Linked DNA regions of Danio rerio. Each later gene encodes a partner of the first gene's protein in a complex. Links are inferred from orthologs where the notes say so. Each region holds a gene or a part of one and is shown in the gene's direction. Other genes may lie near its edges. The genes, in order: malt1 and bcl10.

The links.
Region 2: the proteins of malt1 (region 1) and bcl10 are in contact, whole or in part, in a cryo-EM structure (PDB 6GK2), measured with the Homo sapiens proteins. The link is inferred for Danio rerio from reciprocal best matches to the Homo sapiens genes MALT1 and BCL10. Residues at the interface, in NP_006776.1 of Homo sapiens: Asp46, Gln47, Ala48, Pro49, Trp54, Arg55, Leu74, Glu75, Ser78, Leu79, Val81, Leu82, Glu83, Pro84, Glu85, Gly86, Pro88; in NP_003912.1 of Homo sapiens: Leu13, Lys17, Val83, Arg87, Asn93, Gln97, Thr100, Leu104, Arg107, Asn108, Leu111.

Annotation. Positions count from the first base shown.
Region 1 is NC_133180.1:72,226,011-72,235,783, forward strand, and holds the start of malt1 (mucosa-associated lymphoid tissue lymphoma translocation protein 1), read left to right. Parts: upstream 1-6; 5' UTR 7-91; intron 92-1,873; 5' UTR 1,874-1,946; coding exon 1,947-2,095; intron 2,096-2,195; coding exon 2,196-2,362; intron 2,363-3,972; coding exon 3,973-4,094; intron 4,095-6,457; coding exon 6,458-6,605; intron 6,606-6,673; coding exon 6,674-6,852; intron 6,853-8,455; coding exon 8,456-8,552; intron 8,553-9,773. UniProt on the Homo sapiens protein: Protease that enhances BCL10-induced activation: acts via formation of CBM complexes that channel adaptive and innate immune signaling downstream of CARD domain-containing proteins (CARD9, CARD11 and CARD14) to activate NF-kappa-B and MAP kinase p38 pathways which stimulate expression of genes encoding pro-inflammatory cytokines and chemokines.
Region 2 is NC_133177.1:2,088,926-2,098,798, forward strand, and holds the start of bcl10 (B-cell lymphoma/leukemia 10), read left to right. Parts: upstream 1-3,839; 5' UTR 3,840-4,018; coding exon 4,019-4,069; intron 4,070-6,596; exon of another isoform or gene 6,597-6,708; coding exon of another isoform or gene 6,709-6,732; intron 6,733-6,858; coding exon 6,859-7,147; intron 7,148-9,625; coding exon 9,626-9,873. Other genes in the region: exosc4 (exosome complex component RRP41), read left to right, coding at 1,261-1,620. UniProt on the Homo sapiens protein: Plays a key role in both adaptive and innate immune signaling by bridging CARD domain-containing proteins to immune activation.

The DNA of each region.
Region 1 (9,773 bases):
ACACACACACGTACTTTTGGATTTCCCCGCATCAGTCGGATTCATGTATCGTTTAATAATGGGATACATGACAACACATAATCCGTGTACGGTATGTCAATGTTTATACTGCGTGTTTTTCAAGCCTTCTGTTTTGTGTTTGGTGAATTCCGATATGTTGTTTGGCTACTTTTGAAACATGAACGTTTAGTCCAGTTCATACATTTCATAATCTTAAAATCTAACTTAGAAGTGCTAAATACTTTATTAAACAATAATTTTTTACCAATATTCGCTTGCTGACTAGACAAAGCGCGATGGAAAAAGTGAAATTAGCGATTGTACAAGTTGTTGACGTACCAAAGGATGACAATACTGCTTTGTTTTTCGTCTTCATTTTTAAAGTCGTCTTGCCGTTCACACTCGTCTTACTTTACTTCTTCTGTGGATCATAAAGGAAAATATTAAGTCTTCTTTCACTTTTAGATGATTCTGAATACTTTGGATGACATTTCATTCATTTGAATTGTTCACGGAAATAAATTAAGGAACTGGAACAACATGAAGGAGCAAATTATTACAGGGATTTAATTTTGAAGAAAATGTCTTTGATATGATCTCTAATCTGAATTTAAAGATATTAAACTAGTGTGTCTAATGTAGACAGGTGTATACACTTACCGGCCACTTTATTAGGTACACCCGTCCAACTGATCGCTAACGCAAATTTCTAATCAGCCAATCGCATGGCAGCAATTCAATGCATTTAGGCATGTAGACATGGTCAAGACGATCTGCTGCAGTTCGAACCGAGCATCAGAATGAGGAAGAAGGGTGATTTAAGTGATTTTGATGGTGGCATGGTTTTTGGTGCCAGAACGGCTGATCTGAGTATTTCAGAAACTGCTGATCAACTGGGATTTTCATGCACAACCATCTCCAGGGTTTACAGAGAATGGTCCGAAAAAGAGAAAATATCCAGTTTGTGGCAGTTCTGTGGTCACAAGTGCCTTGTTGATGCCAGAGGTCAGGGGAGAACGGCCAGACTGGTTCCAGCTGATAGAAAGGCAACAGTAGCTCAAACAACCACTCGTTACAACCGAGGTCTGCAGAAGAGCATCTCTGAACGCACAACATGACTAACCTTGAGGCGGATGGGCTACAGCAGCAGAAGACCACACCGGGTGCCGCTCCTGTCAGCTAAGAACAGGAAACTGAGGCTACAATTCACACAGGCGCACCAAAATTGAACAATTGGAGAAATGTTGCCTGGTCTGAAGATTGTCAATTTCAGCTGCCACATTCGGATGATCGGGTCAGAATTTGGCATCAACAACATGAAAGTATGATTCCATCCTGCCTTGAATCAGTGAATTAGGCTGGTGGTGGTGGTTTGATGGTGTGGGGGATATTTACTTGGCACACTGTGGGCCCATTAGGACCAATTGAGCATCGTGTCAACACCACAGCCTACCTGAGCATTGTTGCTGATCATGTCCATCCCTTTATGACCAAAGTGTACTCATATTCTGATGGCTACTTCCAGCAGGATAATGCACCATTTTTTTTTGTCAGGCATAATTAGATCAAGGGTTATTTGATGGTGACATTTTGTAATACTTTTAATACAATTTAGTATGATCACTCATCATTTTATATATCTTGAGAAGTGCAGGTCAGAATAAATAGTTAATTCGCTTTTGTAAATCACTTTTGTAAATGCCACAACAGTTGATATCTCATTTATTACATTTATAATACAAATATTTTCAGAATATTCATGTATTTTAATATGTTATATATTCATATTCTAGTGGTGTTAAATAAATATTCTTATATTTCTTATATGATGTATACACTGCTAATAATGTCATGTTGATTTTCCGTTTGGCAGGTGCTTTGCTGACTACTTAAGCAGTTCAGCAGGTCAAACCAATCACAGCGGTGCATCTGCCTTATTCTCAAACATGTCGGAATCGAATGAAAGCTCTTTGAACATAAATTTCTTGAAAGAATCTGTATTAAAAAGGCTCTGTGAGTCTCTTGATAAAGCCAACAATAAAGGATGGCGAAAACTGGGGGAGATTGTGAAAAATGACAAGCGGTTTAAAGTGAGGTAACAGCTCTATTGTTCTCTCTTCACTTTACCTCCTAATGTAATATCCACTTTGAAACTTACATTTCGTAATGCTTTCTGAATTCACTCATATGCACAGTCTCGAAGACATGGACATGTGTTCTCTGAAGGCTTTGAAGGCAGATGGTAGTCCTTCCCGAACTCTTCTCAAACTCATCGGAGATCAGGGCTGTATCCAGGAAGAACTGATGGAGTTTCTACAGATCATGGGTCACACAGAGGCCCTGCAGTGTCTTAAACCTCCAGGTACAGTTACCTTAATAGTGTAAACATAGTAGGCAGAGTTTTTATGTTGTGCAATGCTGTATTACATTATCTTTTGTCTTGCTTATCCAAATTTACATGTCGCAATTCCGTGTTAGATCTAGCGATTCAGAGATAGATCATGCAATTCTGAGTTTTGATCTTGCGATTCTGAGATAAGATCTTGTCGTTCCGAGTTTAGATCTTATGATTCTAAGATTACATGTTGAGATTCCAAGTTTTATCTTGCGATTCTGAGATTAGATCTCGCTATTATAAGTTTTACATGTTGCAGTTCTAAGTCAAGATCTTGAGACTTTGAGTTTAGGTCTTGCTATTTCTAGTTGAATCTTGCAATTCCGAGATTAAATCTTGCTGTTCCGAATTTAGATCTCACCACTTCGAGATTGGATCTTGTGATTCCAAGTTATATCTAGGAATTCTGAGTTGAGGTTTTGCAATTTGCGGTTTAAGATCTTGCCGTTTCGAGTCTAGGTCTTGTGAGTTCGATATTACATTTTGCCATTCCGAGATTAGATTTTACAATTCCGAGTTTAGATTTTGCTATTCCAAGTTTAGATCTTGTGAGTCTGAGATTGCATATTGAGATCCCGAGTTAGATCTTGCAATTCCAAGTTTGCATCTTACAATTCTGAGCTGGAATGTGATTCTGAGTTTAGGTCTTGCTATTTTGAGTTAGGTCTTACCATTCCGAGTTTAGATCTTGCAATTCCAAGGGTACTTGTTGCGATTACGAGTTTACGTCGTGCAGTCATAAGTCAGATCTTGCAATTTTGAGATTAGATCTTGCAATTCAGAGTTAGATCTTGCTATTCCTACATATTCCAAAATTGTATGTTGCTATTCCAAGCTACATCTTGCAACTCTGAGTTTAGATCTTGCCATTCTGACTTTAGATTTTGCAATTACAGTTAGACCTTTAGATTTTGTGTTTAGGTCTCGTTATTTTGAGATTAGATCTTGCAAGTCTATGTTTGTATCTTGCGATTCTAAGTTTACATCTTGCATATCCAAGTTAGAAGTCCAATTCTGACTTTATATCTCATGAGTCCGAAATTAGATCTTGCAAGTACAAGTTTAGATCATGTATCTTGGTTTACATGTTGCAATTCCAAGTATACATTGTGTGATTATAAGATTACTTTTGGTGATTCAGAATGCATGTTACGCGATTCAGAGTTGAGATTTTGAATTTACTTCTGCCAATTCCAAGTCTAGACCTTGCAATTCAGAGTTTAGATCTTGCTATTTCAAGTTTACAAGCTGTTATCCCAAGTTGGATCTTGCCATTCCGAGTTTAGATCTAGCTTTTCTGACTTTAGATCTTACAATTCTTAGATTAAATCTTGTCACTCTGAGTCTAAATCTTGCAATTCCGAGATTAACACTTGCCACTCCGAGTTTAGACCTTGTGATTCCGAGAGTAGATCAGATCTTGTAATTCTGAGTTTACATCTGGTGAATCAGAGTGTGTGTAATGCAGTTCAGAGTTTACGTGAAAACTATACTAATTATTACAATACTTTTCCAATGTGAAAATTAATTCCAGGTCCACATTGTGCTATTCTGACTTTTCTGTTTTTGTCTCACAGGAATTCAAATCCTGCTTCAGCCACAGTCAGTATCTGTCATTGCCGGACACAACCTTCGCCTTAGCTGTTATGCTGTCGGTGCTTCACCTGTGCAGTTCCAGTGGTTTAAGAAAACTGAGGAGGTGTGTAGACCAATAGTTTTATAGTTTTGCATCTTTAAATGAGTTTTTATTTTGATACTAAATTGTATATTCAATTATTTATTTTTTACTGTTGATGTTTGTTAATTACTGAAATGCTCTTGCCATGAAAATAGCCTTAGTAGCTGACATGGCAATAAATAAATAATGAATGAATGAATGAATGAATGAATTATTTTGATACTATTTTAAAATTTGCTGTACGTTTCAGTTTAGTTCAATAAATAAATGGTTTGATAAGTTTTAGTTTCTTATTCTATGAACAAAATTCTTTTTAGTTTTTATATATTTATTTTCAGTTTTAGTGTAGTAATTCTACTCTAACTGAGTTGACAGAACATGTCCAGTGTGGACCAAAGCAAAGTTTAATGTTTGCACAGCTTGCATGAACTCTTGTGCAAAACACTTAGTAAAAAAAATAACACTGAATACAAAACCCAAAATGGAACTTAAATGGATAAACGTACAAATTATAAAGAATTCAGACAAACTTTTTAATCTGTAAAGATAATGTATGTGGTTAAATGTGCTTAGTTTGCATTTTTTGGCAAATAAAGAAAAGTTAGACGACATGTTTTATGTTTATACGGAAAAGGTGTTTCTGTATATAATAGTCATGTGCTTGACTGATGTGTTTGATACTTCGATAAACAGCCGTAGCTCAGATTATTTGCCACAGAATGAGTGCTTATGAATTGTGAAAATTATTATTTAGTTTAGCAAATTTAGTTTTTTTCAAATGAGTGGCACGGTGGCTCATTGGTTAGCACTGTCGCCTCACAGCAAGAAGGTCACTGGTTCAAGTCCCAGCTGGGGCAATTGGCAAATCTTTGGGGAGTTTGCATGTTTTTCCCCTGTTTGTGTGAGTTTCCACCGGGTGCTCCGCTTTCCCCTACAGTCCAAAGACATGCGCTATAGGTGATTTAGGTAAACTAAATTGCCCATAGTGTATGAGTGTGTGTGTGTAAAGAGTGTCTATGGGTGTTTACCAGCTTTATGGCTGGAAGGGCATCCTCAGCGTAAAACATATGCCAGAATAGTTGGTGGTTCATTCCACGGTGGCCACCCCTAATAAATAAGCTGAAAGAAAATGAATGAATTTTTTCAAATATATTTCAAATGTTGTCAGTTTTAGCTTTTAAGTTATCATGAATTATTTATTTTATTTCAGTTAACGAAGTGTTTTTTCACCAATAGTTTTAGTCTTAGTTTTCGTTGTGATAACATGTGATATTACAAATGAATAACCTAATTAAAGGGATAGTTCACCCAAAACTGAAAACTCTTTAATTCTTCACTTTTCTCAAAACTGTTTGAGTTTTTTTTTTTTTTTTATCTTGTAAACAAAAAATATGTTTTAAAAACTGGCTGACTTCTATAGTATGTGTTTTTATCTGCTATGGAAGTCAAAAGTTGTCAGCTTCAAGCTTTCTTCAAGAAAATCTTTATGGGCACCTATCATGAAAATCAACTTTTGTAAGCTGTTTGGACAGAACTGTGAAACACAATAAGTCTCTTTTTTTTAATTTCCTGACTTTAAAATAGGACCCAAATCCCAGTAATTTTGAGGTCCTCTGCAATGTTATGTAGAAGTGCAGTTTTCCCCGCCCACTGAATTGATTGACAGGCGCCATGATTCCATAATAACATGTCTACACCTGTTCACAGAACAGTTTTTTTAACAGGGAGTAAAATATCTGTTTCAACTCACTGTGATTTTTATAAGTTTAAAACGTCTTTAAAACAGAGCACATTTGTAATAAAGACGTTAAATTACATTGACGTGAAGTTAAATTGCTAATTCTTAACCGCTATAATCACCATGTACACATGGTGTCAGTAAACGCTAATGTGTGAGACTCATCATTTCAGAAAGGCTTGAATAGACTCCACCACAAATACATCAAATAAACTTACTTGGTGTTCTTGACTAAATAGCTGTATTTCAGCTTTATCCGAGTCTGTCTTTATCACTGACTGCTGTTTATCTGACATAACGCATGATGAGAAGCAGACACGCACATAGGAAAAGTGGGCGGGGAAAAGCAGCTCATTTGGATTTAAAGTCACAGGCTACAAAAACAGCTGCACTGTACTTGGACACCAAAAGTGTGCATATTCTGGACGTTATAATAAATTATCTGATGGGTATTTTAAGTTGAAACTTTACAGACACATTCTGGAGACACTAAAGGCTTATCTTACATCTTGTAAAAGGGGTTAAATAGGTGCCCTTTAATTTGTAATCACTTGAGTAAATAGTAAATACTTTTTCATTTAAGGGTGAACTCTCCCTTTAACTGATGGTGATTTAAACAAATACTATAACTAATGCAACCTTTCAGGTACGCAGCAGCTCTTCCCCAGACCTTGTGTTCAGCCCAGTCCAGATCAGAGATGCAGGGTTTTACATCTGTAGGGTAAACTGTGGAAGCACATATGAGTTCAGTCAGTGGGCACAAGTAGATGTCCTTGACGTCCCAACAAGATATGGTAAGCGATACGCATCTTAAAATGATCATGCTTTGTTGCTATATTGAAAATGGATGTTTTTTGTTTAGGTCTAGTGTCTATGGGATCGGAGGTCAGGCTGAGGGTGTTGATCCAGCCTCAACCTCAAAAGCTGCTGACTGGAGATTTACTGTATCTGGAGTGTGGAGCTGCTGGCAGACTGCTGCCGCAATATCAGTGGTACAGAAATGGAGCGCCAATCAAAAAAGCCAACAAGAGGAAGTTCACTGTACGAGAATAAATATATGCTCAAATGTTCAGTTTATACACAAAATAATACACACAGGGTGTCTGCTGGGTCTTAAAATATAGACTAATATATACTTAAAATATCTTAAATGACAAAAAAAAAAATTTTAGGCCTTAAAAAAGTCTTTAGTTTACTGAAATATTGTCTTAAATAATTGTAAACAGGTCTTAATTTTTCGATGTTCATGTAAAGTTACCCAATCGGGCCAACGTCCATTCAATCACCAACTAAAAAAAAATCCATCTAAAAAAAAAAAAAAAAAAAAGAGATTTACCATTTTTATTAATCAACTCTATTTATCAATATGGTTTAATGATCTTTCGTACAATAATATTTGGTAAATGTTCCATGTATTTATAGCTACCAGGTTGGGACACTAGCCGGGGCAGACTGTTTTGCATACTTTTAGCTTATTATAGTTTTTAAAACATGTCATTATTGTTTAAAAGAAATGTTATGTTGAAAAAAAGAGTTCACTGGTTTTAACACATTATTTAAAATATGTAGCTAAAATGTTGCTGAATTTTTTTGATGAGGCAAGTAAAAATCTTTTCCATTGGGCCAACCGTTTAGCCCTGTATACAGTAAGTATGAAATTTTATTCATGATAGTCTTAAATACTTAAATAGTATTAAAAAGGAGCCTAAACTGGGGAAAAAATTGTAGAAACAACAACACCTAAAAGAAAACGTATCCAGTAATCTTAATTATTAAAATTATTTGGTCACACGTTATTTTCATATACAGGTATGCTATTAACATACCATTAACTGAGGGTGCACTCACACTAGATCATCTGAACTGTTTCCCGGTTCATTTGACAAGTGTGAGTGCTCAGAATCGGGCCCATGCGCAGTTCAGTTGGCCGGCCCTGGCACAATTCGTTTAGGCTTTGGCGCAGTATGCTTGTAGTGTGAGTGCAAAGCACGCCTGAGTGCAAAACTGAAGACGTGACATGACTTTTAAGGGACTGTTTCATATGGATTTATCAATCATTCTTACTGTTCAATGAACACAATCTGTCATAGCTTATTAAAGACACAAACCCCTAGCTGCACGTCAGCTGCACCTTCAGCAAACCTCATAATACATGCAGCACGATGACTTCTATGATAATTAATGAGTGTCAAAAGTGCTGGGTCTGTTCAGCAATATATTTAACTGTGTGTCACTGCATCCCAAAATACTCAAAATAATACAAAACGATTTAACTAAAGCAAAGTCCACTGTGCTGAGGGAGAGCACTACCTGTTAAACTAGACAGTCGCAACATCGATGACGTTAGCATGCTCTGGCTTGGAAGGTAAGCAATGTGGGTGCAGGCCGTCGGGGGAGAGAGGAGGGGGGACTAATGTGCCTCAGCACGGTTCAAGGCAACTACCTAGTGTGAGTACGCCCTAAGACTTTTAGGTATTGGGCATAGGGTTTAGGTATTGGGTAGGATTAGGGATGTAAAAATAAGATCATACTGAATAATAATAATCAGGTAATAAGCCAGTAGTAAATGGTGTGATTTGTTACTTATACATAAAATGTTACTGATTATATTTATAGTTTATTTTTTTATTTTATTTAAAATCAGGTCAAGAATGTGTTGCCAGAGCATCAGGGACGATATCGCTGCGAGATCTGCTGCAATAATGAACGAACATGGAGCAGTGAAGTTGACGTTGTTATTGGTATGTATCAAGTGTTTGTTTTGTATTTATTTATGTATTCTCTAGTTCTAATCAAATTTTAATTGTAACAGTAGCGAGTTGTACGGCCAGTAAGGCTAATTATATAACTCTCATTCAATCGATCATTCTGAAAAGCATGTTGTTTCTTTCTTGTAATTTAGTCTGGCGTACTTCCCGATTATTGAGAGCATTTAATGTTAAGATAAACTATTCAGAATAGGTCTGTGTGTACCGCCGTATTTTTAGAGATGTTCTTAACACTCGAAGTCAATCTTTTGCTGTGGGTGTATTTTTAAGATACCTTGGCTGATTTAAGCCTGTCATGGATGAATAAATATAATACTGAAATTGGCAACAGGGGGTGGAAATTCTGTCTTAATGAATGATAATTCATATTCAAAACATAGGCTCGTTCTGAAAACGTAGCCCTATATACATTTCTGGAGATCGCAAATTATGTAGCCAGAAGTACGTATGGCTGCATTTCGTCTTTAAAATAAACGATACAGAGCGGTGTGATGCCGTTTCTTTTCGCGCTTTCTCGCTGTTACCAGTTTGTCCAGTGGCTTCCCATGTACATCGGCAAACTTGAAACGCATAGAGAAGTTGACCACGATGACTGGGTTCAAGTCTGGTGAAGAACGGTTCCAGATAGCGGGCAAGTCAAAAGCAGAAGCCAAAAAATAAAATAAACAAATAAAAAACAGGGTAAGAATGTGGTAAAATCTGAAAACATGATAAAAATTTGCTGAGGGCTTTTCCTTTTTTGGATTGTTTTTTAAAACTGTGTGATCGGGTCAATCGGTGCTTTTATATACTATTGATTGGGTTTAGGAAAGGAGGAAGGTAGGTCAGTCAATTGGTCAGTCAGTTGACAGCGGCCTCTGGTGGATTTATGTGAGAACAGAAGGCGCGGATGGCACTAGCGAGATAAATTTTATATCTTAAAAAGCAAACACAGCGGCCTCTAGTGGATTCACACAAAAAAAACGGCAAAAAAAAGAAAAAGTAGCTCCTGAGATGTATTTTGCGATCTCCAAAAATGTATATAGCGGTATATTTTCAGAATGAGCCTGGTTTGGAACTATCCCTTAAGCTGTAATAACGATGCGAGATTGGAGGTTGTTACAACAATGTTATCACAAATCGTAATTAAATATCACACATTCGTAACCTGAGGTAAGAGTTTTCATTAAAAAGGAATAAACTGCTATATTTTTT
Region 2 (9,873 bases), on another chromosome or scaffold:
CTACCCATCCATCCATCCATCCATCTCTGCATCCATCCACCCAACTATCCATCCATACACCCACCCAACTATCCATTCACCCATCCAACTCCATTCATGCACCCACCCAACTATACATCCAACCACCCAACTATACATCCAACCACCCACTCAACTCCATCCATGGACCCACCCAACTATCCATCATACATGCATCCTGCATTCATCCACCTAACTACCCATCCATCCACACACCCAATTATTCATCCATCCACCCACCTAACTCTATTCATGCACCCACCCAACTATCCAACTATCCACCAACCCAAATCCATTTGTGCACCCACCCAACTATCCATACATCCAACTATCCATCCATCCATCTGACTATTCATCCATCCGACTATTCATCCATTTATCCACCCGACTATTCATCCATCCATCCACCCAACTATCCATCCCAACAACCAACTAACTCCATCCATGCACCCACCCAACTATCCATCCATCTATCCACCCAACTACCCATTCGTCTATCCATTCAACTACCCATTCATCCATCCATCTCTGCATCCATCCACCGAACTATCCATCCACACACCTACTCCCTATCCATTCACCCATCCAACTCCATTCATGCACCCACCCAACTATACATCCAACCACCCAACTATACATTCATCCATCCATCCACCCAACTATCAATCCAACCACCCACTCAACTCTACCATGGACCCACCCAACTATCCAACATACATGCATCCATCTATCTTTGCATTCATCCACCCAACTACCCATCCGTCCAACCATCCATCCACGCACCCAACTATCCATCTATCTACCCAACGCTATTCATGCACCCACCCAACTATCAATCCATTCATGCAACTATCCATCCATCCACGCACCCACCCAACTATCTATCCATCTACCCAACGCTATTCCTGCACCCACCCAACTATCCATTCATAAATGCAACTATCCATCCATCCACCCACCGACTCCATCCAAGGATCCACCCAACTATCCATTCGTCCTCCACCCAATTACCCAGCCATCCACCCACAATCCATCAATCCATCCATCCATGCATGCATATTGGCTTTAAATTATTGTGATAATTTTTTCTGTTGAACGTAAGAGCCAGATCAAACTATAACTCATATTATTACAGTTGCAGTACATGACAAGATTCCAAAGACACTTTAAATACTATTACAATTCACATTACATGTAACTGACTACAACAGCACCATGTCTTTGATTTGTCCTGCGCTGTAGATCCTGCAGGCGGACGGTGGAAACTACAGCGCGTGTGTCAATGCTGCTACATTGGCTCTAGTGGACGCTGGGATCCCCATGCGCGATTATGTGTGTGCGTGCAGCGCTGGGTTTGTGGAGGACACCCCGCTGGCAGATCTGTGTCATGCAGAGGAGAGCGGTGGAGGAACAGCGCTGGCTCTGGCTTTGCTGCCTCGTAGTGGAAATATTGCCCTGTTGCAAATGGACGCCCGGCTCCATCAGGACCACCTGGACACACTGATGGAGGCGGCCATGACGGCGTGCAAAGAGTTCAGTAAAGTTCTAGACAGTGTCGTACGGCAGCATCTAGAGGAGGTTTCAGATCTGACCAGAGATTGAGATGGAGATTTAATGGACATCTATGGAGTCAGATCAGTGTCAAAAATAATACATTTACAAAATATAATTTGCTTAAATATGATTCAGAAATACACAAATCCAATTCATTTGGTGAAAATATTATATATGATATTCACTGGTGAATTCATGAACTGTGTGTTGCGTTTATGAATAGTGTTTTGATTTTATGAATTGGATTATGTAATTGTGAATTGTGATGTATGAACTTTTAGTAAATTAATTATTTTTGAGACTGATCTGACTCCATAGGAAATGCTCTATTAATTTGTTATTCATTTAATCTTTGAAGCATGCGCTTGGACTGAAAAAAAAAAACAGATTTGATCGACATGTATGGAGTTAGATCAGTCTCAGAAATAACACATTTACAAAATATAATTCACAAGTTTAAATATAATTAAAAAATACACAAATCCAGTTCATTTGGCGAAAATATTTATGATTTTTACTTGTGAATCTATAAACTGTGTGTTGTATTTATGAATTGTGTTTTGAATTTACGAACTTAATTTTATAAATGTGAATTGCGCTATGCATGTATGAATATCATTTCATAAATGTATTATTTTTGAGACTGATCTGACTCCATAGGAAATGCTTTAGTCATTTATTCTTCATTTTAGTGTCTGAAGCATGCGCTTGGACTGAAAAACACACAGAATTGATAGACACAGAAAAAAATAAGTTTATATATCAGCTTATCCAGAAGAAATGCCACCTAAAAAGCGCTGAACACATTTTGTTATAATAATGTCCTCTGTTGTGAGAGAGTTGTAATAAAACAATGGTATGTTTTTAACAAATGAACACTTTTCCTTTTGTGTTTTATCAAATTAACCATTATTTAATCAGATTTAGTACTCCTAATAAACAGTGGGGATCGAAAGTTTGGGCGCCCCAGGTAAAAATTTGAATTAATGTGCATAAAGAAGCCACGACAAGATGGAAAAATCTCCAAAAGGCTTTAAATTACAGATTAGACATTTTTTTAATGTGTCAAAAAAGTTAAACTTTATTTCCATCATTTACACTTTCAAAATAACAGAAAATAAAAAAAAAAACATTCTGGGAACGTTCTCTGTAGGTTTTTTTTTTTTTTTTGGTAACCAAAATATAACCTTCCCAGAACGTTCTCTGCAGGCTATTTTCAATGGTTAATTTATTACCTACAGAGAACCTTCCCAGAACATTCCCTCTAGGTTTTATTTAGGTTTTTTTCATAACCTTGAGAGAACCTTCCCAGAACGTTCATTGTAGGTTAATTTTGGGATCTATTTTATAACCAAAAGAGAACCTTCTCAGAACGTTTTTTTGTTGATTATAATATCTTGAACTGCCGCCTTTGGCAAGTATCACAGCTTGTAAATGCTTTTTGTACAATTTTAAGTTTACAGTTTACATTTCAGATATAACTTTGTTTCAAATGTTACACTCTAAAAAAACGTTGAGTTATTTATTTAACCCAATAATTAAGTTAAACATATTTGGTGCTTTGTTGGGTTATTTTAACCTTTATTATGTTATTTATTAGTAACTCAACCAGTTGGGTTAAATAGTATGTGCTTTGTTGGGTTATTTTTAACCTTTATTATGTTATTTAATAGTAACTCAACCAGTTGGGTTAAATAGTATGTACTTTGTTGGGTTATTTATATCATAACTCAACCAGTTGGGTTAGAATTTTTAATTTCAACAGTCAACTGATTTAACTGACACAGAACAGCTGTATTAATATGTGCGCTTAATGTTGTTTTTGCATTCTAAAGTTTATTTAAGCTCTTAACGCAATAATATTGTTGTCTTTAGCACCCAGCGGAGACATTTATTTATTTACACTATCATAATTATAAAATTAATAGTAGTAATAGTAATAGAGTAATACCAGAATGAAAAAAAAACATGTATTTAAAATAACCCAATGCATTGAGTTAAAATACCCCATAGTTGGGTTTAATGTTGGGGTATTTTTAACCCAACTATTTTATCAGAGTATGAAAAATGCACAAATACAATCCCAATACAGTAAAAAGAATTAAATTGGAAAACACATGTAGGGGTATATACATCATCACAAATTAAAGGAAAATATTACATAATTTACAAATTTTACAAGTTCTCCCCTGTAAAATGATGACGTGATGCTGGGTTATGGCGTCATTCACAGAAAGTATGTAGGCTATCAATAAGGAAGTTAAAGCGCCGGTAGTTCCCCTTTACTATATGAGAACTACGAGTGGATCCAACGTGTGCTAACAAGTTCGTGTCTGGACATTTTGGCTGATTTCTGGTCGCCGATGTGGAATTTGAAGCACCGTTTTCTTACCGGAACGAGTTAAAAACTGAACAGTAGTGAAAAACAACAAAACGAAAAGAGAGGATGGATGTTACTCACCTGACGGAGGACGAAATGGCCGATATAAAGAAGGAAGTGAGTAAAACGAAACAAAACGCGTTAATGAAATCGAGAATCTATTAATCAGATAATGCCTTCGTAAAAGTAGAAGTGAAAGCGCTGAGGGGCACTGACCACAAACCTGATCGATGCAACCAAACGTTTATCAGGTGTAAAAACCTGAAAGCAAATGATTTCCAAATGAGTTCGTCAAGTTTTTATACTCCGACTTCACTTTATTAGAGTGTGAACTGCTTTATGAAGTACCTAAGACGAGCATATTAATCATATTGGTCTACGAGATTAAATAAACCCACATTAAAACATACTACAGTGGACTAACTTAATTCTGGCAAATATTAGTGTTTATGAACAATGCTAAAGTAGGCTAACGTTACTTGAATTAATCTGTTGTGGTAATTTTGTTGTTGTTATGGTAATACAACAGTATAAACATGTCACAATACTGTAATACATACAACTATACAGTTTACACATAATAGTAGCTTACAATACTAATGTAACACTAATAACACACTGCTAACGTATACTACAGTATTTATAACAGCTTATGAGTTCAATATTGATAAGTAAAATTCATTTATAAAGAGTTCACTAAAGAGTTTAATACACTTAACTATAGTATAGTTCAAAAACATTACTTTTCCAGCATATGTTTTACGCAGCGGATGCCCTTCCAGTACTGGGAAGTATATATATATATATATATATATATATATATATATATATATATATATATATATATATATATATATATTTTTTTTTTTTTTTTCCTTCAGCTTAGTCTCTATTTCAGAGGTCGCCACACAGGTTTCACGCAGCGGATGTCCTTCCAGTATTGGGAAACTTGTAATATATATATATATATATATATATATATATATATATATATATATATATATATATATATATATATATATATATATATATATATATATATATACACAGTTGAAGTCAGAATTATTAGCCCCCTTAATTATTAGCGCCCCTGTTTATTTTTTTTCCCAATTTCTGTTTAATGAAGGGAAGATTGTTTCATCACATTTCTAAACATAATAGTTTTAAAAACTTATTTCTAATAACGAATTTATTTTCTCTTTGATGACAGTAAATAATATTTTAATTAATATTTTAATATTTCAAGACACTTCTATACAGCTTAAAGTGAAATTTAAAGGCTTAATTGGGTTGATGTGGTGAATTTTAAGGTAAAGGTAATTTTGTCCCAAAATGTTTTTTAAAAAATTAATAACTGTTTTTAATCTTGCCAAAATAAAATAAATAAGACTTTCTCTAGAAGAAAAAATATTATCAGACATACTGTGAAAATTTCCTTGCTCTGTTAAACATCATTTGGGAAATATTTAAAAAAATAAAATAAAATCAAAAGGTGGCTAATAATTCTGACTTATATATGTGTGTGTGTATTCTTTTTAAATACTATATATAACTATTGCACTTCAATACACTACAGTTTACAAATTTATACATACACTGCTAACGTATACTACTGTATTTATTACAGATTATAAGTTTAATGTTGATAAGCAGCATTCATTACAAAGAGTTTGCTATACCGTTTAATATACGGTTCAAAAACACTATTTACTAAATATATTTATTTATATAAATTTAATTAATTCATTTTCCTTCGGCTTAGTCTCTATTTCAGAGGTCACCACAGTGGAATGAACCGCCAACTATACTATGGATACCCTTCCAGCCCCAACCCAGTACTGGGAAACTATTTATATACATTTATTTTATATTATATTATATATATATATCTGCCACTATATATATATATATATATATATATATATATATATATGTATGTATATATATGTATGTATATATATATATATATATATATATATATATATATATATATATATATATATATATATATATATATATATATACATACATATATATATACATATATATATATATATATATATATAGTTCAATACACTTAACTATAGTATGGTTCAAAAACACTATTTGCTATATATATATTTATATTATTTTACTATATGTATTATAGTAAAATATATTATATTAAACATAAAAAAGAATTATCTTTTATTAACTTAGCAGATATTTATTTAGTAGGCAGACGCTTTTAATAAACACTACAATTCAACAGAGAGTAGCAGTATATAAATGATATGTAAAGCACAAGCCTACAAGTCAAATTTATTCATTCATTCATTCATTCATTCATTCATTCATTTATTTATTTATTTATTTATTTATTTATTTATTTATCTTTGTTGAATAAGAGAAATCACACTAATCTCTGATCAAATCCTTGACACATGCCCAATAATTTTTGCCTGTCTTAAATGTTCCCTGCTTCAAAAATACTGATATATAATAGCCTCCCTGCAAAGCTCCCTGAAAAACTATGAGCTATTGGGCTTAGTGTTTTAAATGCAAAGTGTGGTCATTTCACATGTTTAATTGATTTAGTAATATAGGTTCATTGATAAATAAAATGTATTTATCAATTATTTTTAAAAGCATCTTCACTTTACAGCATTTTTACACAAGTGCCTAAAACTTTGAACAGCTTTGCTGGTAGGTTTTTGGAAGCATCTTCAAGATGAGCCAGAGTTCTTCTTAACCGAGTTGTCCATCAGACAGACTGGATGATGATCAGATCATCTCTGAAAGTAAACTCACTGTTGAAGTACAATTAATGATCAAAATAATGTCTAACTATTTCAATCTGCCACTAGCCTAAGACTTTTGCACAGTATTGTCAGTGTGTAATCATTAGTTCTTGTCTGTCATCGTAGGCCATAGAAAGGTTGCGACCGTACCTGGTGGATAAGATCATCGCCGACCGTCACTTTGATTATCTGCGCTCGAAGAAGATCCTGACCAGGGAAGACACGGAGGAGATCAGCTGCAGGACCACCAGAGGGAAACGCACCAGCAAACTGCTGGACATCCTGGCAGAAAACCCTCGCGGCCTGGACATGCTCATCGAGTCCATCAAATGGGGCCGAACGCTCAACTTTATCATCGCCAGGATCACAGACGAGGTGCAGCGGGTCAAAAACGAGCGCCTGGAGGCTTTAAAAGGTAACTCTTTACAGGGTTAAAAAGCTTTTCTTATTCCGCTGACACCTGCTTGCAGCTTGTGTTGACAAGTCCACTAGAGGGCGCCATCTACATTTTTGCAAATCTCAAATATGTGACTGAGCTATTTTTTCTCATACATGTCATTTATGTGAGAAGCTGATCAGCTTGTTGGGCATAATATATTACTGACCCATACACCTCCTCCCTAAACTCAACGATAGTGTTTTTAGATGCAAACGAGTAGAGAAAAGAGCATTGCTGGAACATTCTTTTACCATGGTTTTACATTGCTTATTTGTTTTTACCTGGTTTCTAAAACAGTCCAAAGTCTGCCTACACGCCCCAAGTATGACACTGTACGAGGTAAGCTACAGAGCAAACTGACCACTCTGGAAAAGCCGTCTATATTGAGATATTTTTGTGGCATTTATCTATTAACAACCATGCGAAATCGATGCTATCGTTGATAATGTGTCCCTGTAAATCTTTATGCTGTAAATCTTTAAAAGGAACAAAAGTCGGCAGCATCACACCACCATGTAGTGTTCATTTTACCTAGAAAATGCTGGCAAGCACATGCAAAGGCACTTTTTGTGGTTTCCCAAAATATAGCCCTAGCCACATATTCACAATAAACACATATTGGGTGATATGTTTAGGATAAAGTACACCCAGGAGGTTGTTATCACAGAATACATCCCAAGAGGCTTTATTGACAGTCTGACGTGAAGCCGAGCACTGCTGTATAACACTAAAGGGTTTATTCTGCGAAAACAACCATCCTGGATTTACTTTATCCTGCTTATTACATTGCTACTTGCCCCAAAATAGACACATAACATTGTTCTGAGCTGTAATATTTTATTAATTCGTTAATTAAACGCAAAGCGGACAAAAATGAAAACAGCAGATGGAGTATACACTAACCTGCGCATTATTCAGACACTAGATGGCGGCAAACAGTCAAAAACACAAAGCTGACAGAAACTAAAACAGCTGATGGAGTATACACTAACCTGCGCATTATTTAGACACTAGATGGCGCCAAACAGTCAAAAACACAAAGCTGACAGAAACTAAAACAGCTGATGGAGTATACACTAACCTGCGCATTATTCAGACACTAGATGGCGGCAAACAGTCAAAAACACAAAGCTGACAGAAACTAAAACAGCTGATGGAGTATACACTAACCTGCGCATTATTTAGACACTAGATGAAGACAAACAGTCAAAAACACAAAGCTGACACAAACTAAAACAGCTGATGGAGTATACACTAACCTGCGCATTATTTAGACACTAGATGAAGACAAACAGTCAAAAACACAAAGCTGACACAAACTAAAACAGCTGATGGAGTATACACTAACCTGCGCATTATTTAGACACTAGATGGCGCCAAACAGTCAAAAACACAAAGCTGACAGAAACTAAAACAGCTGATGGAGTATACACTAACCTGCGCATTATTCAGACACTAGATGGCGGCAAACAGTCAAAAACACAAAGCTGACAGAAACTAAAACAGCTGATGGAGTATACACTAACCTGCGCATTATTTAGACACTAGATGAAGACAAACAGTCAAAAACACAAAGCTGACACAAACTAAAACAGCTGATGGAGTATACACTAACCTGCGCATTATTTAGACACTAGATGAAGACAAACAGTCAAAAACACAAAGCTGACACAAACTAAAACAGCTGATGGAGTATACACTAACCTGCGCATTATTTAGACACTAGATGGCGCCAAACAGTCAAAAACACAAAGCTGACAGAAACTAAAACAGCTGATGGAGTATACACTAACCTGCGCATTATTCAGACACTAGATGGCGGCAAACAGTCAAAAACACAAAGCTGACAGAAACTAAAACAGCTAGTGGAGTATACACTAACCTGCGCATTATTCAGACACAAGATGGCCCCAAACAGTCAAAAACACAAAGCTGACAGAAACTAAACCAGCTGATGGAGTATACACTAACCTGTGCATTATTTAGACACTAGATGGCGGCAAACAGTCAAAAACACAAAGCTGACACAAACTAAAACAGCTGATGGAGTATACACTAACCTGCGCATTATTTAGACACTAGATGGCGCCAAACAGTCAAGAACGCAAAGCCGAGAGAAACAAAACTGGCTGAATGGAGAATATACTAACCTACATATGATTTATTCACAAGACAACACTAAACAGTCAAGAACTGTTGCGTAATACACAAGCAGATACATTCTCAGTTCCTGGATGAGATTGTGTTATTTAGCGGTTGTTATCTGAGAATAACACACCCTGGAATATCACAACTGACCAATCACAATCGAGTATTCCAGACAGCAGTGTAATAAATATTGTTATCGTGATATGTGATGACTTGTATAATGATTTCAGATTTTTTTTTGTCATATTGCCCAGCCCTAGTTTCCATTCAGTTTATTTATGTATTTCATATTTTTACTTATTACAGCGGGGTCCAACTCGGCTTACCCGACCACAAAAGGAGCAACCAATGACTTCTCCAAAATGGACTCGGACTATGATAAATACTCCACTATGTGTTTACATCCTGAAGGCGAAGCCAGTTCCTCGTCCTCTGTGGCGACGGGATCCTTTAACCTGCGCTACAGCTCCACTCGGGGGAACGAGGCTCTAATGGTGAGTGGAGGTTCGGGTACTATGAACGTCTCCAGCACATCATCGATCCTTCCTAAACCA